Linked DNA regions of Caenorhabditis elegans. The protein of the gene in region 3 interacts with the protein of the main gene of each other region in a pairwise test. Each region holds a gene or a part of one and is shown on either strand. Other genes may lie near its edges.

Region 1 (6,543 bases), on a different chromosome or scaffold from region 3:
CTTTAATTTCTCAAACAACAAAGACTCACTTCAAACTCGGATACCTAGAAACTTCCATGTTACAATAAACGGTCTCGATCGGCTCGACTCCATGAATAACCGTCAGCTTCCTGCTATTCACCTCCATAACAACGCGAATATCTTTGCCCTGCAAATTTAACTTTTCGATACAGAATTCATCTATTTTTAAAACCTCTTGTCGATTACCGCTTCCTCTCAATTGCTTATACTTTATGATCGGCCACTGGAGTGTCTGCAATTCAGGAAACATACTGAAGAGACTGCAAAAACATAAATAATTTTTTTTTACTAAAAATGTCTAAAAATTTCGACCTCATTGGACCTCAAAATGTGAAAAAATTCAAAATTGCATGCCGGTCGTGGCGAGACCCATCCATCACTTTTACGCGCGAATTCAAATTCAAATTACCAAGCATATCTAATTTAGCTAATTCTCGTTTTTTTAACTTAAAATTTAATCGCATTTATGTAATAGATAAAATAAAAATTTTTGATAAATTGATAAAAAGTTTATTATGACGACAAACTGCAATAAATTAAAGCCAAATGGAAGGCAAAATGAGTACTTGGGAGCAATGATTCACACGAAAATGCAGGGAATAATAGTCAAAAAGGCGGTATTCGGAAGCGGGAACCCGTATAGTAATGGTTCGTTGAAGAAAGAAAAATAAAATAAATAAAATACAGGCACAGGAAGTATGTGAGAAGGGATCGTAGCTGTACATATTGGGATCGCAGATAAAATTATTGAGCATCAGCCTCGTAGCATTGTTGGTAGGCTGTACGGACGAGATTATATGGGAAACAGGTTTCAAGAACATCCATCGACAGCCAACGGTTTTTCCGAACCATCTGTTCAAGGATAATGTAGAGAGTTGTGTGGGAACGAAGAACGTCGTCGGATATTTGTCGACTGTTATCACGTTCATGAATAGTTCGTAGAATACCCGAGGACGCGAGCTGAAAATTTTTCTAGGTGAGAATATGTGTTAATAATGATAGAGCTAACCGCCAAGAACTCCTTCATCCTCGACTGGATATCATTTTGCTCGTGGAGATGGAAAAGAGCTGATCCGATAGTGTTAATCGCCATTGGAACACAGTGACTATTGTTCAAGCTGGCTGAAATTGTTTATTTTTAATTTTTGCAAAAAGCTGTAAAAGTATGTACCTTGAATGCTAGGCTTGTAAGACGAAAGATCCGACATTCCAATTCGTGGAATACAGATAGCGACGGCAACCATCAATAGACAACTATTAACATAGTGTTCTTGAGGGTGAATATTCGGATTTTGAGCACGAACCGCATTCACCAACGACATATCAACTGGTCCTGTGACTCCCATCGCAGCTGACATTTCTCCAATTTTAACTTTATCAACATCGTCCAAATTGTGATAAAGCATATCAAATGATGCTTGAAGAAATGGCAATTTAGATTCGACGATATGACGAAGAGCATCGTGGAGAGCATCACGAAACAGACAAATCTGTCCGATAATAATAGTTCTTTGCAGAATTGCATCAGCTGCGCATGTTGCGTTCGGAGTTTTCTTGTCCTTTGGTTCGACGCTCAAAAGATTTAAAACATCCTTCATCTTTTCAGCATTATCGAAATTAGATCTAGCAATCTGTAGAGCATCTTTGTATGTTGCAACAATCTTGCTCATCTCCATAATTTGACTGGCCACGTGCCAAATCAGCCGTTCAGTCATCAACTTTACTCCATAAGGTCCGATAATTTGAACCAATGCTCTCAATTCTTGAGGATCTGAATAATGATCGGGCATGAACGAGAGTTGTTCCTGTCCTGATGATAACATTGTTCGTAGATGCTCACTCCAAACCATATGACCAGATGAAGCACGACGGAGCAAAACTTCGAGATACCATTTCGTGTAGAGTGCTGCGATTGTGTCTTTATTCTTGGAATCAACGAGTTGAGTTTGTTGTAGAAGAGTTGTTTGCATTGTATTACTGATATCCACAGAAACTGAAATTCCATTTATGAGAATATTTATAGATTATTTTAAAAACCACTTACTTGCTGTATCAAGATTTTGAAGAACCGTCATGTAGGCTTGTAGCGCAAGGAGCATTTCACTTGGTCTTTTTGGATTACTTGCATGTGGTTGACCTTCCCAGAACATTCCATGAAGCAATTCTACAAATTTAGTTTCAAGGGACTGCGCTAGGTACGTCCTCGGTGCAAATGTGTGATCAGCAACGTAAATTTGACGATGAGCTCCGAGAGCTGCAGAGATTTCAACTGAAAAGTGGGAAATTTGTGATATAAAATCTAATTTAAAAAACGTTTTAAAACTTACGAAGAGTTGTTTGCAACTTATCAGGCATTGTTAATGCTTGACGATCAACTCGATAACTTTCTTCTCCAGCAATGAAATAATCTCGAGCGGCTGCTGCGGCCGCCGCTGCAGCTTTTCCAGATCCTTTCTGTTGAACAACTTGAGCAACAACTCTTACAGCCACGGCGCTCGGTGTCATTTGATAAGCTAATCCGAATTCATGTTCAGCCACTTTTTCCAGGATATATGACAATTGTTTGCACGTCTCTTCAATTACAGAATTGCATTGAGCCAAGGCTTTTTCAGTGATAAATGCTTTTTCTTCAGGACACATGTCATGGAGGGCGCTTGTGAAATGCGCGGCAAGACGTGCAAAACTGAGCACATATCGAGCTTGAGCAGGTAGCTGGAGACAGTTGAGCCAATGTTTTTCAGCGAGTTTTGGATAGAAGCAGTATAATGATAAATCACTTGTTTCCCTTAGCATCTCGTCTTGCAAATCGATCATTTTCAGATGAAAAACTGAAGTATTCATGTATATTGCGAGTTTTTTATGTCTTGAAAGTTGGAAATGGCTCCGAGCAGCAGATGTCCAAGCTTGAAATCTAAACCAGTCTAGTCGAAGAGCACGAAGATCCGTATCAGAGTTGATATTTCCTATTTCGTTGGCAAAATCGGTCAAAAGAACCGCTTCTTCCTGGGTGAGGCCATTTGCTTGGTTAATCTCTTCAGAAACAACAATTGAATCATAGCTAGACACGTACTGAAAATAAAAAAGATTTAAAATAGATAAATTTAAAGTTTTAACAAAACCTGTAGATAGTATCTTTGAATCACTGCATAATATTTCGTAACGAGATCTCTTAATTCCAGCATATAAAATAGCAGTTCTGGAAGTTGCCTGTCAACAAGCTCCTCGACCATTCTGCTGCCTTTTTTGCTGATAGCAGGAACTTCAACTTGATGCCGTAGAAGCCATATGACCTCATCTCTTCCTGCTCCAAGAGCCATCCAGACATAGAGAATTTTCGGGCCAAGTAGTCCGGGCTGATCTCGTAGTAAAAGTGACAGCTCTCGAAGAGAACTTCTAAGGAAGCGGCGACGGTCTGCGTGGACGGCAACTCTGAAATACAAATTATTAGAAAACGCTTTGTTTATCATATTTTTTAACTTACGCAGTAACAGATGCATGATTGAACGCATCTTTAACATCTTGTAACCGTTTGCTTTTTTCTTTGGAAGATTCTAAAAACGCTTGAATCTCTTGATGAACAATAAATGTTTCGTCTCGGAAAACGCGAAGACACAGATTCATTTGAAGTGCCAGCTGCCACATGTGCCTAATGTTGTCATCGTTAAGAAGAGTTGAATGGCATACTGTTCCGCAGACTGAAAATATTACAATTTTAATAAACATTTTAATACTAATTTGTATATTAACTTACACACAATCCATCGATCAATGACGTCGAGTGATAGATATTCGCATGCAATCTGAAACGATTTACATAAATAATTTTCCATTAAATAAAAACTTGCTCACAGTTTCTGTTTGAGCAGCATATAAAATTTGTGCTGGAGCAGCGGTCAACGAGAAAACATTTGATGTTCTCCATGAATCTGCTGTCTTGTTTCTGCGCTGATATGTGTGTGTAACAGAAGAAAGAGCTGAATAAATTAGCCTGTTCAGTGGTCCGAGATCTTCATGAAGCTTTTTTAACGGATTTTCATAATCAAGAATCATTTGTCCTAATCTTGGAAATGATGCTTCACTTTGTCCGTGTTGTAGATCATATGCCGCATTAAAAAGTCCAAGAACAGCTTTCCGGTCTTCAATTCTTGATAAAAGAATCATCATTGTGACGAGATGTACAACAAGATTCAAATAACTCGTTGTCAGGTCGTAATTGAGCGTCTAAAAAATAAAATTTTAGCTTAAACATTATACGAACGATATAAATATTTAAAATCAATAATATACTCACCACATCCAGCTGACATTGACATGATTCCATAGTTGTCAAAACTTGCATAATGTGATCTTTTAAATCAAGAATATCAGCAAATGTGTAGTAATATAGCGATAAAGATTTTGTAATTTCCGTGGACTTTTCTTGTACATATTCGAACGTCGACTGAAATTAATTTCGGCATGAGAAATCAACAATTTGAACTACTCACTGAATTCGATCTGCAATCAACAACAGGAAACTTTCTAACTATATGTTTGATTGCACCTTCCATCTTCTTGTCGCTAAGAAATTGTGGTTTCACTTTTGAATCTGAAATCTTCAGCATTTTATAACAACAGAAATTTTCAAAGACTACTCACCGCCGCTTGATTTCTTAATATTGTATATCCGTGTCATCATTCCAGCAGCACGATCATTCAGTATCACAAGTTTTTCAGCAATTTTCACCTGTCTGGCATCTTTGTAAGCCATTTTGCTGAAAATTGGAGAGAAAATTGAAGGGGAAATGAGTCACAAATTGGATTACAGTTTAAAGGCGCATTCAATTAAACAAGAGGTGTCTCTCACCACGGCTGTGCAAGCATGCTCTATTGCGCTCTTTTGTTGGCGGCAGTTTGAACGAGAGAGGGAGACCGTTATAAAAAATGTAGACCACGAAAAATCTAGACCACGAAAATATTTAAAAAAGCTATTTTCAGACAGATTTTCAGGTTTTTACAAAAGAAGTTTATTTAATGGGGAATAAACTTCTTGTTTTATTGCAATTTGTCACCGCAGAATATGATCTAGATCACCGTGAATGGCACTGACGAGGTTCAAGAACTGGAAAAACGAACAAAAAAAAATATTTGGAATGTTTGGAAAAAAAAAACATAAAATCAAACTGAAGAACTATTCACCAAATATGTTGCTTTTATGAACTTTCAAGCTTTTTGTGAACTTTTGTGTCGACTTTTCTTAAAAATCATATTTTTCCAAATTATTTCCCCACTTTATGTATAGTGATTGTTTAGTGAGAAGAACAAAAATTCCTTGTAAATCCCTAAATACAGACAGACAGTTTCACATCCAATTACGAAATATTTCATTTGATATTTCCAAATATTTCCAATTTATATCTCTTCGTCCCTCCGTGGCAGCTTAGTTCATCAAACCTTTCCACCGTCGATTCGAATCGGCTTTCTTATCAGGTCAAATGCTATAGATAGCTGGTCTCTCTCCCTCTCTCTCTCTCTATCTCTCTCTCTCTGATAGTCCGAAGAAATTCTCACATCGTTTACAATAGCGAACAACACCGAAATGGCTGTAGATGGAGGAGAAGAAGAAGAAGCATGAGACCAGCAAGGATCGGGAAACTGTGAAAGAGAGAAACGGGTTTGACGAAAGGCCGGACGGATGGTTAGCCTCTCTTTCTCTCCCTCTTTCCCGGGAGGCCTTCCTTTCATTCAAATGTTTCCATCGCTTTTCGTTGAATACTTCCACTCACTTTTGTTACTTCTACACATTTTTCTTCATTTCATATCTTTTTATGAAACTTTTTGGATTCAAAGTTTTCACTTGTTCGTTTCATTTAACTTGCAAAAAAAACAACTATCTTCATCTTAAATCTGTCAGAAAAGGTGCGAAGTCATCGCATTCATACAGCTTCTCCATCTTCTACAGCTCGCCTCATTCAATCTATTCACTGTGTCAAACGTGTTTCTAGTTTCCATATGTCTATACAACTTTTATCTCTTCCGTTCTCTGTAATACAATTATTTTCTGTTCTTTTGAATCGTTTTACACACATTGCGTAATACCGATCGAACAGTTTCTATCGGGTCCTGGCACGCGCGGAATTTTTCAACTACCGTACCTCTTTGATTGTTTCGTTAGTTGAAATGTTTCGATCGTGACAAGACTCAAGTTGGTGATTTTAAATTAAAATTCAAAGTTTTTGATTTAAGTATTTAATAGCATAAACTTTGACAATGCTGCACTGATTTTCCAAATTAGGCTCCGCCCATATCTTGGCTCTTTTGAAATTTTACATTGCATTTTCTCGTACTTTACTTCTACATAGTCTACGAACACAGAATAGATACCTAAAATAAACTCAAAAATTCCATACTTTTTGAAACTGTGCATGGCAAGCTTTTGACCTAAAAGCTTATATCTCATAGTCAGACATTTCAGATGCTATCCAGGATTCGTCAACTAATAAGATATTCATCTTAAAAGTTTCCAATTTTCTTAGTTCAAGA
Region 2 (4,157 bases), on a different chromosome or scaffold from region 3:
CTTCTCGCAGTTTTTCTGCTAGCCGTATGTAGCCTCGGAGAGTCGAAAAAACCAAAGTGAGCCAGTTTATTGGTTGATTTTTCCATCTTTATCGATTTTTCAGGGCACAGAAGGTTATCTACGTGCAGAAGGTGGTGCCGCCCCAGAAGCAGGTAGGATTTGAATTTTTAGCCAAAAACTTGGATATATTGAAGCTCTCCGAATACGACCTCTGCAAGGAGCAATGCCGAATCGAAAGCGAGACGCAATCCAACAAAGAACGCGTCGAGCTTTTGAAACAGGAGATCGACCGAGCTGAGCAGTTGCTCGCCGAGCACAATAAACACGTGGATGCTCCGGAAATCGCACCCGAAACGTACATGGAAGCTGGTCAGGTTCCGCCAATGCGTAAGGCTAGCCGTTACGATCATTTGAAAATGGCAGCCAACAAAATTGTCGAGTCGACGAGTGAGCTGAAAAATGCGGTGACAGGTGGAGGGGATAATTGAATTGTTTTTGAATTGTAATTGTGTAAATTTTTGAATTTTATAAATAAAAATCTGGGTTTCATAGAGATCATTGGCAGGATTGATTAGATAAAGTAGAAAATGGCATAAAAAAAACAAAATTAAAAAGTTATGAGTCAAAATCATCGTCTGGAGCTCTTCGCTTGAGCATATTCTGTACATGCTCCGGCCGTAGCACTTGTGTTGGTGGTTCGATGATATGTGGCTGATGGGTGACTTGTTGCATTTCCATTCTGAAAACTTGAAAATTTTGAATTTGATATGTATAATTTCATTTTACTACAGAAAAAAAAAACGCATGCCATAAAGATTTAAAAACAATAACTAAATGGAATATTGTCGGAAAATATGTGACTTTTAGTTTTGTGTCAAGGTTTTGTATTTTTGATTCGAAAAAACAATTTTTGAGATGAAAATGCAAATTTGAATCAATATTTTTCAAATGAAACTGACAGTAGCCACAAAAAGCATTGAAAATCGACAAGTTTAAATATAGAATTTCTGTAAATTTTTAGAATGAAAATTTCGGAAAAAATTTATATTTCGGCTCAAAAAGCGGTGAAAACTTAGTTTTTAACAAATGTTTTTGGAAGTTATCGATTAAAAAAAACTTATTCCATGTCTTATGCATTCATATTTAATTATTTTGGGGGCACGAAAATGCGAAAGTGTTTTCGATTTCTCGAAAGGTGGCTCCAAACAACACCTTTTTTTACTTGAAACAAAAAATCTTCTATAAATTTGGTACTTTTCCTTTTCTACCCCGCATTTTTCTGGAACATTTTCTTGGATAAAAATGTGAACTTTTTCTGTAATTTTGTTTTCTAATGGGGTTATTCAAGTAGTGTCGGAAAATTAAAAAGTGTAGATTAATTACGTCACAACTGTATTCAAGTATATAAAAACATGTATTTAAATACATTTGTGACGTCACAAATGTATTTAAATACATTTTGCTACATTACTTGAATAACCCCATAAGCCTGAAAATGATTCACGTGAGAATTAAATTTGAATAATTCAATGTTTTGAATATTCATTTAAAAATGCGGTGTAAAAAAGGAAAAGTATCATAATTTTTTTAAAAGTTCTATTGTGAGTTTTTATTGTTATTTTGTCATTTTTGAACCATAGGAATGGTTTTTAATAGTTTCCCCACTGGTCGTACTCCACTTTAAAATACCTTCTTTCCGTTTAAAATCAAATTTTTACAGATTTTTCAAGATATATCGAGAAAAAAAACGTACGGCTGATAACTGTCGTCAGCTTTGTACACAAAATTCTGCTGTAATTGACAGAATCGATCGTTGGGCAGCTTCAGGCCATAATTGTGTCGAATTTGCGGTAGGGGCTGCTGATTTTTGTCATTCGCCAATTGCAGAATCTTCTCACGGTCCGGAGCGTTTGTGGTCAGAACGCCGAGCATGTCGGCCGCCGTTTGAACGTCTTCTGCCTCGATTTGCGCTTTTTCAGCATGCCTGGACAGTCCACTTGACATTTGGAGGATTTTTGACGTCACTGCGTATTGAACCTGGAAAAAATCATTATTTTTTGAATTTTTAGAGCTCAATTTTGTATTTTCTCACATCCATAAGCATTGAAACGACGCGTGGATCAAACTCTTGAATTCCACACTCGTGGAGCATGCTTATTACAGCAAGCGCCTCTTTACTGTGTCCATCGGTACCACTTGCCGTCGTTTCTGTGTCTTTTTCTCCTGTATCTGCCATTTTTCTTTCTGAAAATGCAATTATATGGATTTCCCCACAAAAATAACGGAGAGGAAATACAGAAATATCATGTGAGATGTAACACGAAATACAAAAATTATGAAATTAGAATTAAAATTTAGAAAAATTCATCTTAAAACACGGAGGATACAAAGTTGTTCACTGAATCGTTGCAAGTTTTTTTTGGTGAACTGGGAGAGAGCGAATAAGAAATAGAATTAACGGATGCAAAAAAGTCGATAAATAAATAGATTGTGTGGAAAATGCCGAGGAAATTAATGGAAATGATATATTTACATCAGCTGAATTCGATTATTTTTTAGGAGTTCATGACAGCGCGTACGAAATCCGAGATATTGACGTTTCCGTGAGAATCGTTGTGTCCGGAGAGCAATTGATCGACGTCTTCATCGGATAGGCGTTCTCCTTGAAAAAAAATTGATAAAATTGGGGTAAACTTTAAAATTGTATAGACCAGCAGAACATTTTTGAAAAGCTACTTATATATTAATTTTTTGATAATATTCACTCAAAATCCTACCAAGAGTGGTGAGCAAGTGTCGGAGCTCTGCGACATTGATCATTCCGTTTCCCTCCTTGTCGAAATGCGACAACCCCTCGACGAACTCCTCAACGGTGTGCTTTTCACTGAAATTATGTAGAAATTGAAATTTATTAACTGAAAATTCGCCACGAACCGATTCTTGGACACCGACTGGAAAATTGGGACAAAGTCCTCGAATGAAAGCCGAGCTTCCCGATCGAACGAGCCGACACATTTGTGAATTTCGGCTTCTGTTGGGTTCTGGCCGAGCGCGCGGAGCACATCACCGACCTGAAATATGAATTTTGGATTAAAAAAGTAAAATATTGAATTAAAAACCTGCTGAACAGAGATTCGCTCGTCGCCTTTGCTGTCAAAATAGGCGAAAACCTCACGACAATCAGCCAAATCGTCCATTTCTCACAGCTGAAATTGGAAAATTGAGAAGACGGGATGAAAACGAAAATCGATTATCAGTGAGTGAGAAGTTGGCGATAAAAGAGAGAATGAGTCACGGGGACGAAACAATTCGGGAGGAAAATGGGTGGGCGGTAGAAGATTTTCGAAGAGAGCTGAAAACATTTCATGCCTTCCAGAAATTCTCAAGCAAAAATTCAGCCTTTCTCGGCTATTTCCCGAGAAAAACGAGTTTCACAACACATTATTCACCGCACATGAACTGAAATGGCGATCGATTGGCGAGTTTATTTGAATAGTAGACACACACAGCAGAAGAGACGACCAAAACGGGCAGTTTCCCCGCGCGGCGGTGTCCTGACTGTCCGTTCAACCGCGTGAGAGTGTGTGGAGATGGTGGAGACGCGAGGAAGAACAACATCCCGAATTCTTGTTGTTCGGAACTTTTTCTCACCGATTCATCGACAAGATACCAATAGTTTGGAGGTTATCCGGCGGGAAAAAGAGGGTTAACAGAGGGCAATTAGAATTAAAATTCGAATTTTCGAGTTGCGGCATGAGCATAGAGCACAGAGAAGCAAAGAGCGCCCAAGTTGCCACGGAAACCATGCACATTACGTGCTGAATACAATTCCTGCGAAATTTTACAGAAAAATCTATTTTTCTGCAGAATTTCAAGGATAATTATCGATAAGCCAAAAAATTGATATAAAACAAAAAATTTTCGGGCGCCAATTTCAAATGCCATGGCGCAATGCACAACGGGCGCTAGATCCCACGCGCAAATGCACAGAATATGCCTGTTTTGAAATTTATTTTTCTCGAGAATTTCTAGAATTTTCGATAATTCAAAGGAGTTTTTTGGTTTAAAAGGCGTTATTCTAATTTTTTGATCTAAATTATCAGGTATTTATCTATTTTTCACTTTAAATCCCCTCTTTGCGTAGTCGGAACACCTCT
Region 3 (6,676 bases):
GATATGATATTCCAATTTCTTTTGAATCTATGTTGTGCTTCACGACTTGATAAAAATTCAAGATTCATTAAAATACGTTTTAAAAATTAAATAATCTGAACTACCCACACAAGAAATGCAAACATGAGGTTCAAATACGCAAAAAAAACATAAAAGGAAAACACTGGGAAACTGGAAGTGGTGATTACAATTGTGCATAGCTACGACGTTTTTTCAAAGTTTTTCAGATTTACAAGATAAAGAGGTGACGGTGAAGAAAAGAAAAGGGAAAATGTGTGGCCCCGTAAACAATTGATTTTTTTGTGGATTTTGGTTTTCAAAAGAGGTTCGGAAAAATAGATTATGACGTCACAGACGGAGAAAATGTTTTGAAGATTGAAGAAAAATGAAAATAATAAAAATAACAACTAGTTTGAATAATACTAAAGAAGGACTAGGTTTGATAACTCTAATTTTTCAATTGGTAACACGAAAGGGATAAATAAAACGAATAAAAAGATTAACAGGAATATCAAAATCATTTTTTCTCATTACGAAGAGCATGTGAAAAGTCAGTTGGCAGCTTTGGAGCATTCGGATCTTGTGGAGTATTTGAGACCGGTGCTTGATTTGCAGCTCCTAGAGATGAATTTGATGATGACGGGGAGCATGCTGGTGGAGCTCCAACGCTAACACGAATCTGGCGATGAATTACACAATTAAAAGCTTACATCTTTCGATTAATTATTTTCGTAAGGTGTTTTTCAGAATAATTATAAAAGCTGCTGATTATAAATGTTTATAAAATATCAACTTACTTGATGAAGAGGTGACATTGCATTTTGAGTTTGCTGGACGGCCAGTGCAATATTTTGAGGAACGGCCAATCCCATTGCTACACCCAACGAATTCGATCCGCTGAAGAAACTTTTTTTGGTTAGACAAGACATTGATTTTAGATTGAAATTTGAAATTAATAAAATTTTCAAGCTTTTGGCCAATTTAAAAAAAAGTATATATTTCTGGAAAGATTTTTTTAAAATTACATTTTATTTTGATACATTATTTTCAGAAAAAAAACAATATGGTTCAACTTACTTGCTTGCAGAACTATCCGGACGATGAATCGAATTACCAGGAACTAATCCACTCACAGCTCCCATTGATAATGCCGAAAAAGCATTTCCACTACTAAGCAATGGAGATCGAGAATTGGTATCAATAAGATGTTGAATGAAGCTATCGTCTGTAAAAAAAAGCAATGGGATGATAGTTCAATGTTCATAAAATCATACTTAAAGTTGTTCCGTCATTACTGTGTGCAAGTTGTCCAAGTACATTAATCAATGAATCATCTTCAAGCATTCGAAATGAAGGAGTTATACGAGGAGTTGTGATGGGTGATGGAATGATTGAATTACATCCTGACATAATTGGTTTCACTGCAACTGGAGCAATTAATTTCACTGATGAATCAACTGGTTTCGATGATAAGATTGGTGGTTGGATTTGTGAATTACAGTAGCTCGTGCTCGGTTGATTATGTTGCAGATGTTTCTCTTCGATCTTTTGGAAAATTTTGCTGAAAAGAAAAAATTGTTTAACGATGATCGGGATACGATGCCAAACCTGAAGCTTGTTGTATCTCCGCGTGCTGTTGTGAATTTTGTTGGGCTTGCCATGTATCCACTACTTTCTCTGCTGATTAGATTAGAAACAGCAGTGTGAGTCGGTGAAATATCGCTTCCTAAAGCTCCTTCATCTGAAACAAAAAAAATAAATTCAACTTTTACTAAACATATATTCTTCCAAAACTACGATACCAGGTCTCATCACGACAAATATTTATGGAATACACAAATGTTTGCGCCTTTAAAGTGTACTGTAATTTCGAACGTTTGTTTCGTAGATTTTCCATAGACCGGGTACCATATTTTTTTAGCTTTTTAATATAAAAAAGTTTCGTGTTTGAAAAATATTAGTAATTTTCGCGAGAATGAGGGTCACGTATACAAAAACAACTAACTTTTATTCATTTCCTGATTGCAATTCAAAAATTCAAATGAATTGCTCGTATGCGGATGCATTCTTTTTCTGCCAACTGGACTTTCTCGCATCGATGGTGTCGTTCGAAGTGAGCTCAATGCATTCACTATATGTTGAGCTGAATTAATATGATTTTATTCATTAAAATTATCGTGCTTACCATGAATCACATGCTCCCGATTTCTTTCATCAACAACAACGACTCCAACATCGCCATGATTTCCAGTATTCACTGTCATTCGACAAACGGGTTTTGCTGTTGAACGGAATGCACCCGGACTCCTCGCAGAATCTTGACTTTGAAAATCGGGAAGCGGTCTCACTTGCCGACTCGTTCCGGGAGCTCCTTGATTTTGTTGTGTACGAGAGAATTGGCCTGGTGCTGCCCATATGGAGCTTCCGAGTACCAATTTTTCCGTTCCACTTTCCACTATCCGCCGAACTTCGTCGTTAGTGCTGAAATAACTGTGTAAATATTTATATTAATTATTTTTTCAAGTTCTACCTGGAATTAGGAGAATCATGCGATGATATATCCCGACTTCGTTTCTCTGAAGGTCCATCGTTGGAATCCTCCGACATATCCATTTGTTGAGAATCAGATGTTCCCGCGATGGGATAAGGAAAACAATTTTGAATCGGAGGAGGTGGTAGACATAGAACAGATCTTTTTGCATTGAAAAAGTTGTTGTCGACTGCGGTTTTGTTAACCATATACGTGTTTCCCGCAGAAAGAGACTGTTGGGCAAGAGTAGCACGACCACCTGAAAATTTATTTTAAAGTTTGGAATTCTTATTGGAAATTTGCAATTTCGAGCCAATAATATGCAAAAAGGTGTGCTCAAGGAGTACTGTAATTTCAAACTCTTGTTTCTGGGGAATTTCGATTGAAATTGAATATAAATCTATGAAAAATAGAGGGAGAGGGAATTTCTAAGCAACGAGAGTTTGAAATTTTGGCACAAAAATCGCGTTTGAACAGTTTCACAAAATTTTAAAGCCCTTGACAATTTAACATATTTATAAATTAATCAAAACGATTTATCTGCGTCGCAAAATGGATATATTTTTATTTTGAATAAAATTGGATTTTTTCGCTGACAGAATGTCATGGTGAATTCTCAATAGCTTTCAATTTATTCATTGCTTATAGAGAGTTTTAGAATAATTTAATCTTACCAAAATAAGTATGGCAAGCTTTCTGTGGATCATAAGTGATAATGATTGTTTCCGCATTTCGTTCGGAATTCGTTTCCCAGACACGAGTATGAGTAGAACTTGTGCCAAGAACTGCATGAGGAGCTACAATTGTCTGTTCACCGGGCTCTTGCTTTACCATCACTGTATCAGAAAGTTCATCATTTCTCGGATAGGTCAATGTAATTTTAGTGTCAACGTCTTTCAGATAGTTTGCCATAAAAACGTCAAGACCGCGAACACTAATCGCCATATGAAAAGGATTTATGCACAGAGGGTGGACACATGCCTCGGATCGTTCGAGACGCTCGCCGTCGGTGCTCTCGAGAGGAATTCCCTGAAAAATATTAAATTTATTTGAAGTATTAGGCAATAGGATTTTTAAAAACTCACTTTAAATAAAATAATAGTAACCAGATCAAGCCTCCAAACTTTGTCAGCTTGGCGTAAGCAATCAATTCGCCGCATTTTCCCTTTCTGATCAGCAACTGATATAATACACTTGTTCGGCTCACTTCCATTGATCTAAAAAATTGGTTTCGCCTTATATTAAATCAATTATAAATATTGAAATACTTACAGCCGAAATAAACGCTTCTTTATCGTCATTTTGAATATCTTTTTTTATTTTTCCCAAAAGTCTGGAAGCCCATTTCACTTTTAATTCATCTCTATCATTCTGAAATGCAAACAATTTTCTTTATGATTTTTGTTCATATTTATTCGTATTTTACTTGTAATTCTGCTAATTTCGCGTTTTCTTCACTCGCACACATCTTCTTATCAAATTCTTTGAAGTGCCGTCGTTTTGCTGCCTGAAAACAGGGGAATGAAATTGAAAAATTAAAAATTATATTCAATAATTCCTACCTGCAGATGAAACCAATTATAGGCACTTGCTCTGACAAAAGGTAGAAGTTGTTCGACAAATGGTCCCATATCTTCCTGTGAGTAAGGACTGAAGCATTTGATACCATTGGCTTTCGGACTCACGGCTTCTGGAGAATTGAATTGATTACTCCAATCAGAAGATGGTGGAGGCATTGTCTGCTGTGCCTGTGAGTCTTGAGGTGCTTCTGATGTTGAAGCTGTTGCACCAGTGGTCGTCGAACCGCTGGCGGAGCTGACATCGATCTGAAAAGTATTTTGAGTTTATTTCTTTGTTTGATATACTTATACGAGTTTTTTTTTTGAAATTTCAAATTAATAATCAAGTTTTCTTTTTTACCTGAGATTCCATTCGTATAATTTAAAATCAAAAGTATCTACAAAAAGAGTTTATATTTTCATATATAATACTGCATATAGGAAGAGATAGCCTTTTGATGATAGTTGGTTCATAGCAACAGCAAAAATACTCCACAAATTTAAAGAGGCGCAGATAAGGAAACAAGCGAAAAGATTTTGAATGAATAGAATCACACCGCCCGTCGAGCGAATACTCGTCAAATTAATCGATATGAAGACCGGCATGTGTGTGCGAGGTAATTATTTGCAGCGAACCTGCTGCAAAATGTTTTACAACAAATAAATTACCTTGAGATGCGGCTCCATTTTATTCAAAAAATCTCCCAGAGCTGGAAAAAAATCGCAATGCTGCTGCGATCGGTGTCCTGGCTTGTGCTCAGATAATCTGCATTCTGAAACACTTAAAAATCGATATCACAAATTGACAAGCGTTAAAGAAGAAAAAAGCGGCACCGAGCGCAAAATATCATGAGAAAATAAATGATTGAAGAAGTAAAATATTTTTCGAGATTAGTTTTCTGTCGAAATAATAATAAACACTGGCAACAATTTGAATTAAATGAATTCTCGTTTAATCAATTTTATTGAGCTTATAGAAACACTTCTTCTGATTCAAATATATTTTTGGAAACTTTATAAATTTTTCTGCACATTCATCTGCTCATATTTTGCTCTTTCATAGCCAATATTAAAAATACAGGTGGTCTGGGATGCGCTGCGAATCAAACTACGGTAAATTAACTATAGAGCAAAAATGCGCAGAGGGTCGTACAAATACTAGTCCAGCGGCCATATTTCAAACGGAATTTTCCGCGCGAAATCTTGATTAACTGACAGATGACAATTAATTCTTAAAAATTAAAATGAAGATTATCGAATTTTTGAAATTTATTTATTAATTATCAACAAATAAAAAATTTAACGAAAAATCTCAAGCGATCTGTTCAGAAAAAGAGAAAACTCATAAACAAAAAAACAAAGAAGAAAGTATCGATTAAATAAAACGGCAGGTCTCGCAACGATATTGTTAACTATTGCAAAATGGTGCGCGTCTTTAAAAAAGAGTACTGTAGTCTCAAACCTCCGTTGTTGCGGAATATTTATCGGTTTTTCATAGTTTTTCTCAAGGCTTGTGCTTAAAGAAATGTTGTTTCATTGTTATAAAATTTTTAGCAAATCGTGAGAAAAACTATTAAAAATCGATAAAAATCGCACATCAGTTTAACGTTCGAAATAGCTGAAAGTTTCTTGCGAACATGTGAAAAAACAGAAATTTCGTTTTGTAAAAAAACATTTTGCAACATACAGAAAAAGATAACCTCGAAATTTATTTTATTCATTTGTTTGCTCCCTCGTTCCATAAAAAACAAAAATCATGTGACATCAGTTCTATAGCATGCTAAATACAATGCTCAAGTCGTCAGTTCAACAGTTCAAATCAAACAAGTATTAGAGTTTAATAATAACACGTGGTGTCAGGATCCCCCGTTACGCTTTGATCTACAGAAAATGCGGGATTTTTCCTAAAAAATGTGACGTCAGCACGTTCTTAACTATGAGAAATTAGTTGAAAAGGCTGCGCCTAAATTCCTGCCGTTCTCGTAGATCTTCACATGGGACATTCTGACACCATGTCTAATAACATAAAAATAACTAGAATCAAAAAGCAGATTCTTCAAATCTTGACAATGAATTAAACTTGGATGCAAGACTTGCATCTGATTGATGAACTGGATTCTTAACTGTTCTTCTTGGAGCAGGAGAAGGTTCCGGTGTATACTCTTCAACTTGTGCTTCTTCTAGAATTGCCATTCTCTTTGGTTTTGGTGGCCTATTTCTATAGGCTACAGGGTATGCTGGTGAGGTGCCACCAATATTTGAAATTTCACTTTCAGTCCCATCGAATGTCTCATCCTAAACGAAATTCTATAACTACAAGCCATACGTCACAATTTTTTGAATTGGATCTGCTCATTAAAATTTGTGATTTTTTTTTAATGCAAAAAAAAGTTATTCAACAAACAGATAAAATTGATTACAAAAATGTTTTCTGATGTAAGATTCTCCAAAAACTTAACATTTATTGACAAATAGTATTATTCTGTTTTCTACACTATTTTCTGAATAACTCAGCTCAAATTGTTTAATTGCCTTATTGACACCACCTGAACAGATTGCTCAATGGATTCATGCTGCATTTTGAGAA
Region 4 (7,862 bases), 6.3 Mb from region 3:
TCTCGTAGTCCGTGAATTTTGAATTGATTTTTTGCACAGATTTTGGGTAATTTCGCTGAAAAATGTGTATTTTATGGGTTTTTGGGCAGTTTTTTCCATAATTTTTCACTATTTTTAGGTAAAAATTCGGAATTTCTGATTTTCAGCCAGTTTTTTTTTCATTATTTTCTCCGATTTTCTAATAAAAAAGCGAATTTTTCGCTGAAAAATGCGAATTTTAGTCCAATTTTCTGATAAAAATCCGAAAATTCGCAGATTTTTCGGGTAATTTCGCCCTAAAACTTAAGTTTTTCATAATTTTCCCCGATTTTCTGATAAAACTCCGAATTTTTTCCCTTAAAAAAGTGGATTTTCGTATTTTTAGGCAGTTTTTTTCATAATTTTTTGAAAAAAAGAGGAATTTCTCGTATTTTGGCTAAAAAAATGACGAATTTTTTTTGATTTTCCTGAAATTTCATTGATTTTTTTTGAATTTCTCGTCGGATTTTCCACAGGTTTTTTAAATTTTTTAAAGGATTTTTCAGTTGATTTTCTGAGATTTTTTCACTAAATTGAGAATTTTCGTTCGATTTCCTGGAAATTTTTTTGACATTTTTCAAATTATTTACTGATTTTCTTGCCTCTTATTACGGGTTTTCACCGATTTTTAGCGAAAAAATCTACCGATTTTATCGATTTCGTATCTCTCGGATTTTCTTGAATTTTTGCAGCGATTTTTAGTATTTTCGGTGAAAAAAATGTGGATTTTCTAAATTTTGCGATTTTTTTTTAATTTTCGGATTTTTAGGCTGTTTTTTTTTGTTTTTTTTTTCTAATTAATTTATCCAATTTTCAGCTGGAACTCGATCGTTATGTGCCTCCGCGTGCTCGTACCGATGGCTCTCCTCGCCTGGTACTTTACCAACGAACATCCGAACGCGCTCCGTTGGAAGAATCCGGCAATGCCGAAGCAGTATTCATACGATTTCTACCGTGCCTACCCGTTCGACGATCCACGCAAATACCCAATTGTCAACTATTCGTTTGATTTGGAATAGAAAATTCCTTAGTTTCGGTTGTTTTTTTTTTGGTAGTTTTCTCCGTTTTCTCCTTTTTTGTACTATAAAATATTCGAATTTTATCATTTTTTTTTTTGCCTTTTTTTTGCCCTTTTTTCAGCGTTTTTAACGCTTTTATACCTATTAATTCGTTTTTTTTGTTGCTTAAAATTGCGCCTAATTGAAAAAAAAATTCCTAAATTTTATATGATTTTTTGAAAATTGAAAAAGTCTCAGTTTTCACCCCTAATTCCTATTTGAATTACCGCTAATTGGATTTGTTCGATGGAGCGCGCTTGCACGTTTTTAAGTTTATTTATTTTATTTTTTGTTATTTTCCACCGATTTTCAATTTTTTTTAGTTTTCGGTGTATTTTTACATGAATTTTAGAGAAAAAGTCAAAATAAATGCTAAATTTCGATTAAAAAGCACGCTTACAGGCGTAAAAATGACAAAATTAATTAATTTCACTGATTTCGGTCTGTACGCATGGTTTTTATTCGAAAATTTGCATTTATTTCGACTTTTTCTCTAAAATTCAAGCAAAAATACACCGAAAACATTAAAAATCGGTGGAAAATAACAAAAAATAAATAAATTTAGAAACGTGCAAGCGCGGCGCTCCAACGAACGAGTTCAATTGGCGGAAATTCAAATAGGAATTAGGGGTAAAAACTGAGATTTTTTCAATTTTCAAAAAATCATATAAAATTTAGAAATTTTTTTTTGAATTTGGCGTGTTTTAAAGCAATTTTCCCACTGGCGCTACGCTACTCCACTTTTAATTAATTAATTATTTGGAAAAAAAATTCAGAACTCGGCGCTGGACGCCCCCGCACAAAATGCTCTTCCTCGATGATTTTTTAGAAAGTAAGTGGTTTTTTTTGTTGCAAACTTTTCCCCTATAAAAACACCCAAATTTTCAACGTTTTCCAGTGCTCGATGAGCTGCCTGCCGAGCTGAAGGAGAGAAGCGATGAAATTCGGCGAATCGACAATGAAGTTGAATGTAAAATTTCGAAATTTTTCTGAATTTTTCCCTTCATTTTTTCGAATTTTTAGCCCGTCTAAACCGTAATCGAGAGGCGATCAACGATTTTTTCGAGAGAACCGGCGTAAATATGCCCGAGGAGCAGAGAAAGGAGCGCTGCAAGGTTTTGCAGGAGGTGAATTTCATGAAAATTCCTGGAACTCGAATTTGGCAGCAAATTGACACGAAAACGCAGGAAAAAGTTGATTTTTGCCACAAAAACGGCTAAAATTCGTGAAAAATGAGAAATTTCGCTATAAAACCCGTTTTTCTAGCTTTTTCGTGAAGAAAAATGAGAAAAAATGGGATTTTTTTGTACTTTGCCTGATGTCATTTTTTCACTTTTTAAGCTTTTTTTTCCCACAAAACACCAAAAGTGCTCAAAAATACTCAAAGTGAATGACGTCTAAAAACACTAAAATGAGGTCGAAAAACTCAAAAAGTTGCTCAAGATCCGACCAAGTTGTAACCTTTTCGGAAAAAAACCTAAAATTAGAATTTTGTCGTTTTTGATCGTTTTTTGAAGCTTTTTCTTCACAAAAATAGCTTAAAAACGCAAAAATTAGCCCAAAACGCTTATAAATCTCAAAATGCATCCAATTTTTCAAAATTTTCCGCTAAAAATAAAGGAAATACCGAAATTTTCAAAAAATGAGCATTTTTCCGCGAAAAAATCCCAAAATTCCGCTAATTTTTCAGAATTTCTCGGAAAAAAACGGTCGAAAAAATTCCTTTTTTCACTGAAAATCTTTTTTAAAAAACAGGACAAAAAATCGCAAAATTCAGACAATTTTTCGGAATTTCTTGTTAAAAAGTGAAAAAAAAGCTGAAAATTTAGCTTTTTTCACGAAAAAAAATTGAAAATTCAACTAATTTTTGGGAAAAAACATTTACATTTGCATTTTCTAATTTTTTTTTCGTGGTTTTCTAAAAAAAACTTTCAAAATCTCAAAATACAACCAATTTTGCCGAAATTCTTGGAAAAAAACCCTAAATTTGCATTTTCTATTAATTTTAAAAGCTTTCTCCCCCAAAACTACCTTATAATCCCAAAAAATCAGCCAATTTTTCTAATTTCTCTTTAAAAAAAAAGCTGAAAAATTAGCTTTTAAAAAAAAAAAAAGCTTAAAAATCCCAAAATGCCAATTTTCCAGATTTTCTCGCGTTGAAAGTGAAGGAAATGCCGAAATTATAAAAAAAAATTAGCTGTTTTCACAACAAAAAAAAAGTCGAAACCCCCGAAAAATCATAAAATCAACCAATTTTTCAGAATTTCTCTTTAAAAAGTAAAAAAAAGCTCAAAAATTTGCTTTTTTTTTTCAATAAAAATTTTAGAATTCAACCATTTTTTCAAAATTTCTCGTTAAAACGTTGAATAAGCTCAAAAAAAAGTTTTTATCACAAAAATAGCTGAAAAATGGCAAAATTTCTCTTAAAAAATGAAAAAAAAAGTTCAAAAATTTGCTTTTTCACAAAAAAAAAATTGAAAAAACCCAAAAAATTGCAACCAATTTTCTTCAGGAATTCTCCACAATCCGCGTGCTAGCTCAACGCAAATATCTAATCGCCGAAAAAATGCAAGAACTCCTCAAAAAGTACAAAGTTCACTTGGAAAAGGAGAAAACCACGTTCCAGTGTGAAATGGAGGCCGACAATTCAGGAGTGACCGAAATGATCGAAAAACGATATACCCAACACGTCGAATCTCTGCTCACAGCGAGAAAAGAACGAAAACGTCGTCATCGCGTGGGCGGTGGTGGTGGTGGTGGAGGATCGTCGTCGAGAGCATCGACAGTCGCTTCGGGACCACTTTTATCGAAAGAATCAAAGGACAAAATTCAGCGGATCCTTCAGGAAGGTGTTCGTCTTCGAATGGATCTTTCCGATGAGTCGGCACAATCGGCACTATCATCGGCTATACCATCACCAGCGCCACGTGGGCGCCCGCCAAAGATCGCAAAGGATCAGCTGTTGCTGTCGTCGGCGGCGATGGTGGTGGCCAGTGATGATTGTCTGACGCCAGTGCCACCAACACCGACGGCTAGGGTGAGGAGCTAGCTGAAAATTCGAGAAAATTCGCAAAATTTGGAGCCCACCTACCACGGCCTCCTGTTCAAAGAACTGGCGAAATTTCGAATTTTAGCTAAATTTTGAATTTTCAAATAATATTTTTCAAACATTTTTGAATTTCAGCCTAAAATCCGCAAAATTTGATCGTACAAAAACCTCACAAAATTGATAAAATTTTCCCGTTTTTTGGGTGTTGTTACAAGAAAAATTTGACGAAATTTCGAGTTTTAGCGTAATTCGTCTCTTTTCAACTATTTTTTTAGCCTAACCGCCACATTTTTTAATAAAATTTACGAAAATTGGCCGTTTTTGGGTCATTTTGGACCGTTTTCAGCTAAAAATTAACTTTTTGTTTCGAATTTTCAAAATTAAACGAAATTTGGCTCTTTACTGACTAATTTTTAAGCCAAACCGCCATGATTTTCTGGAAAATCAGCCTATTTACAGGAGGACTAACGGTTTATTGACCCAAATTTTGTGCTCAAATGAACGAATTTCGTAATGAAACTGCTCGAAAATGTATTTATGGCGGTTCAAAATTTCGAAAATGACACTGATTTTAGCTAAAATCTCGAATTTTGGTCATTTTTCCGTGTCACAGCTGTAGGAAGTTGGTTTTTTTTGGAATTATCATCCTTCATTGCATATTTTGGTAGTTTATCTCATTTAATTTCATTGATTATGGTAAATTTAAAGCCAATAGGTAACCAAAAATCATTAAAATTGGTCGCCTATAGGCTTTAAACAGACCTTAATAAACGAAATTAAATGAGATATTAAAACCAATATATGCAATCAAGAATGATATTTCCAAAAAAAGCCAACTTCGGACAGCCGAGACACGGAAAAATGACCAAAATTCGAGATTTTAACTCAAATCAGTGTAAGTTTTCGAAATTTTGAAGCGCCATAAAACATTTTTGAAGAATTTTTGAGCAATTTCAGTATGAAATTCGTTCATTTGAGCACAAAATTTGGGTCTATACGTTCCAAATCGTCCGAACCGTTAAATAGGCTGATTTTTCAGCCTAACCGCCATTATTTTCACGAAAATCAGTCGTTTTTGGAGTGAAAAAACTAAAAATTCTCTAATTTCTCCAAATTTCAGCGCCGCTCAAACACAAATGCTCTCCGCGGCACAGTCTCCATTCCAAGTGCTCTTTCATCAATGATGAATCGTGGTGAATCGACATCCCGCTTCTCACCGAATCCCTCCGAACGTAGTTGGTCAAACGCCGGAATCGACGAATCATCACCGACGCCGACGACAAGCCTACTGATGACACCGACGTTCTCCTCAGGACCGCATATCGTCGTTTCGCCGACGACTCCAGTTCTCCAGAATTCGGCGTTTGTGGTGTCTGAGAGCCGTCATGGTAGAACTCGGAAGCTGACCAGTAGAGTTCAGGAGATGTTTAAGGAGACTCTACAGCGGCAGCGGAATCATGGAAATTCAATTATAGCACTACAGGAGAGAATGAGTGCGGCGAATCTGGCGGCGGCGGCTCAGCACGCTCACGCTCCGACGAGCTCTTCACCACAATCACCACTTCCGGAGATTGAAGGAGCCGCCGAGGATGATGATGAGGAAGGACCGAGTTATCGGATTAAGCGGAGCCATCCGATGATGGCTCCGGGATCGGAGGATGAGGAGGATGAGATGCATTGGTGTTTTTGTAATGAGAAGAGCTATGGAGATATGGTTCAGTGTGATAATCGTCATGTTAGTGTGGGCTTTTTTAATGAAGGGAAAAATTGAATTTTTCTCCGAAAATTGAGCGAAAAATTCAAATTCCCAGCAGAAATAGTGCGAAAAAAAAATTAGATTTTTTTTTGTTGTTTTTTATTACCAAAAATTGATTAAAAAATGTGAATTTTCATCAGAAATAATGCAGAAAATTACTGTTTTTTTTTCTTCGAATAGTGCGAAAAATTGAGTTTCCATCCATTCAAAAAATCAAAAAATTTGGATTTTCACACGAGAAAACAGTGCGAAAAATATATAATTTCTACCTGAAAATTGCAAAATCATGTTGCTATATTTGCGGTGAAAATTCACTTTTTTGGTTAGTCAAAGATTATCAAAGATCTTATTAAAAAAAAAAAAAAAAATTTCCATTCAAAAAATCGAAAATTGAGCGAAAAATTCAAATTTCCAGCACAAAATCAATAATTCGTAATTTTTGATGAAAATTCATATTTTTTCATGGAAAATTGTACAAAAAATTCAAATTTCCACCAAAAATTGAGTTTAAAAAGTGAAATCAGAAATAATGCACCGAAAATTAAATTTTTGTTTCAAAAATAGTACGAAAAAAGTTAATTTTTAACCGAAAATTATTTTTTTTTTAATTTGAATTTCTACCACAACAAAATGCTTAAAAATTGTTAAATAGAGTGTTTCCTTGGAAAAAATCACAAAAATGAAGTTTTCACCAAAAAATTGCGAAAAATATATAATAATTTCTACCAGAAAATGCAAAATTTTGCTTTTTTTTACATTTTTATCGAAAAATTTCACGAACATTCAGAAAAATTGAATTTTCACCAAAAAATTGGAAAAAGTTGCAATTTATATTATTTTTAGGCTAAAATCAACAAAATTTCTGCGTTTTCAACGGTTTTACCAAAAAATGTGTTACAAAAATTCGAAATAGTTGAGCGAAAAAATTAATTTCCACCTAAAAATTGCAAAACTTTGCTATATTTTTGGTGAAAATTCGATTTTTTGTTGGTATTATTATCAAAAAATTTTACAAAAAAAATAGAATTTTCATTTTAAAAAAATCCCGAAAAATTAAAATTTCATCAGAAAAATATTTTTAAAAATTGATTTTCCACAAAAACATGCTCTTGAATTACAAAAGCAACTGAAATAATACGAAAAATTTAGATTTCGAAAATTAAATTGAATTTCCACTGTAAGTATTTCAAAAATTAGAAAAATTAAATGGAAACAAACACAAAAAAACATAAAACACGAAAACATGATTTTTAAAAAATTGTTTAAAATAATTACAATGTGGAAATTTCATTTTTCGCACTGTTTTCGGTGAAAACTCAGTTTTTTTCCACAAATATTACAAATTACATCCATCCATCTGAAATTTACACCAAAAACCTTTAAAACAAAATACAGAAAGTCTGAAAATTTCAACAAAAAATTCTAATATCTAAATTTAAAAAACATTTCTACCAAAAATCTGATAAACTGAATTTTCATCGAGACCATCACCACCAAAAAACTAATTTTTGACCAAATTGAGTGCGAAAAATCGAATTTCCATCAAAAATATTATAAAACATTTTGTTTTCTTCGAAAAGTAATGCAAAAAAGTAAATTTCCGCCACACAAATATATTTAAAAAAAGTTGAATTTTCATCAAAAACTACAAAAAATAGAATTTGCCTGGAAAATTCTAATTTTTTCGAAGAAAACAAAATGTTTTATAATATTCTTGATGGAAATTCGATTTTTCGCACTCAATTTGGTCAAAAATTAGTTTTTTGGTGATGGTCTCGATGAAAATTCAGTTTATAAGATTTTTGGTTGAAATGTAAATTTTTTATAGCACTTTTGTAGCTATATGTTTTTTAAATTTAGATTAGAATTTTTTGTTGAAATTTTGGAAAAAATTATGGGAAAATGGTAGATTTGTTTGTTTGTTTTTTTTTGTTGGAAAATAAAAAAAGTAATAAAAACCACAAAAATATCAGTAAGTTTC

The links.
Region 1: the proteins of nfi-1 (region 3) and gex-3 interact in a two-hybrid assay, tested with the Caenorhabditis elegans proteins (one large-scale study listed by BioGRID).
Region 2: the proteins of nfi-1 (region 3) and taf-9 interact in a two-hybrid assay, tested with the Caenorhabditis elegans proteins (one large-scale study listed by BioGRID).
Region 4: the proteins of nfi-1 (region 3) and ing-3 interact in a two-hybrid assay, tested with the Caenorhabditis elegans proteins (one large-scale study listed by BioGRID).

Annotation. Positions count from the first base shown.
Region 1 is NC_003282.8:12,402,663-12,409,205, reverse strand, and holds gex-3 (Membrane-associated protein gex-3), read right to left. Parts: upstream 4,776-6,543; 5' UTR 4,772-4,775; coding exon 4,660-4,771; intron 4,610-4,659; coding exon 4,509-4,609; intron 4,463-4,508; coding exon 4,313-4,462; intron 4,243-4,312; coding exon 3,871-4,242; intron 3,822-3,870; coding exon 3,773-3,821; intron 3,717-3,772; coding exon 3,503-3,716; intron 3,451-3,502; coding exon 3,141-3,450; intron 3,091-3,140; coding exon 2,349-3,090; intron 2,291-2,348; coding exon 2,066-2,290; intron 2,015-2,065; coding exon 1,193-2,014; intron 1,144-1,192; coding exon 1,031-1,143; intron 982-1,030; coding exon 766-981; 3' UTR 516-765; downstream 1-515. Other genes in the region: dsb-1 (Double-Strand Break factor), read right to left, coding at 30-148, 194-271. UniProt on the Caenorhabditis elegans protein: Rac effector required for tissue morphogenesis, cell migrations and egg laying. May play a role in egg laying and in yolk protein clatherin-mediated endocytosis by oocytes during oogenesis.
Region 2 is NC_003281.10:13,622,363-13,626,519, reverse strand, and holds taf-9 (Transcription initiation factor TFIID subunit 9), read right to left. Parts: upstream 2,245-4,157; 5' UTR 2,237-2,244; coding exon 2,093-2,236; intron 2,038-2,092; coding exon 1,754-2,037; intron 740-1,753; coding exon 616-739; 3' UTR 513-615; downstream 1-512. Other genes in the region: T12D8.5 (uncharacterized protein), read left to right, coding at 1-56, 104-152, 195-488; mlc-5 (Myosin-2 essential light chain), read right to left, coding at 2,556-2,662, 2,778-2,884, 2,935-3,071, 3,120-3,197.
Region 3 is NC_003280.10:7,536,380-7,543,055, reverse strand, and holds nfi-1 (Nuclear factor I family protein), read right to left. Parts: upstream 4,777-6,676; coding exon 4,759-4,776; intron 4,357-4,758; coding exon 4,093-4,356; intron 4,038-4,092; coding exon 3,957-4,037; intron 3,902-3,956; coding exon 3,803-3,901; intron 3,748-3,802; coding exon 3,616-3,747; intron 3,560-3,615; coding exon 3,205-3,559; intron 3,040-3,204; exon of another isoform or gene 3,019-3,039; intron 2,790-3,018; coding exon 2,531-2,789; intron 2,482-2,530; coding exon 2,186-2,481; intron 2,144-2,185; coding exon 2,006-2,143; intron 1,742-2,005; coding exon 1,609-1,741; intron 1,562-1,608; coding exon 1,275-1,561; intron 1,226-1,274; coding exon 1,078-1,225; intron 898-1,077; coding exon 798-897; intron 680-797; coding exon 518-679; downstream 1-517. Other genes in the region: ZK1290.13 (MARVEL domain-containing protein), read right to left, coding at 6,130-6,384, 6,636-6,676. UniProt on the Caenorhabditis elegans protein: Probable transcription factor which recognizes and binds the palindromic sequence 5'-TTGGCANNNTGCCAA-3' present in promoters. Plays a role in locomotion, pharyngeal pumping, egg-laying, and life span.
Region 4 is NC_003280.10:13,874,182-13,882,043, forward strand, and holds the start of ing-3 (Inhibitor of growth protein), read left to right. Parts: upstream 1-1,852; 5' UTR 1,853-1,880; coding exon 1,881-1,908; intron 1,909-1,974; coding exon 1,975-2,046; intron 2,047-2,099; coding exon 2,100-2,203; intron 2,204-3,588; coding exon 3,589-4,113; intron 4,114-5,245; coding exon 5,246-5,860; intron 5,861-7,862. Other genes in the region: ndub-8 (NADH dehydrogenase [ubiquinone] 1 beta subcomplex subunit 8, mitochondrial), read left to right, coding at 836-1,037.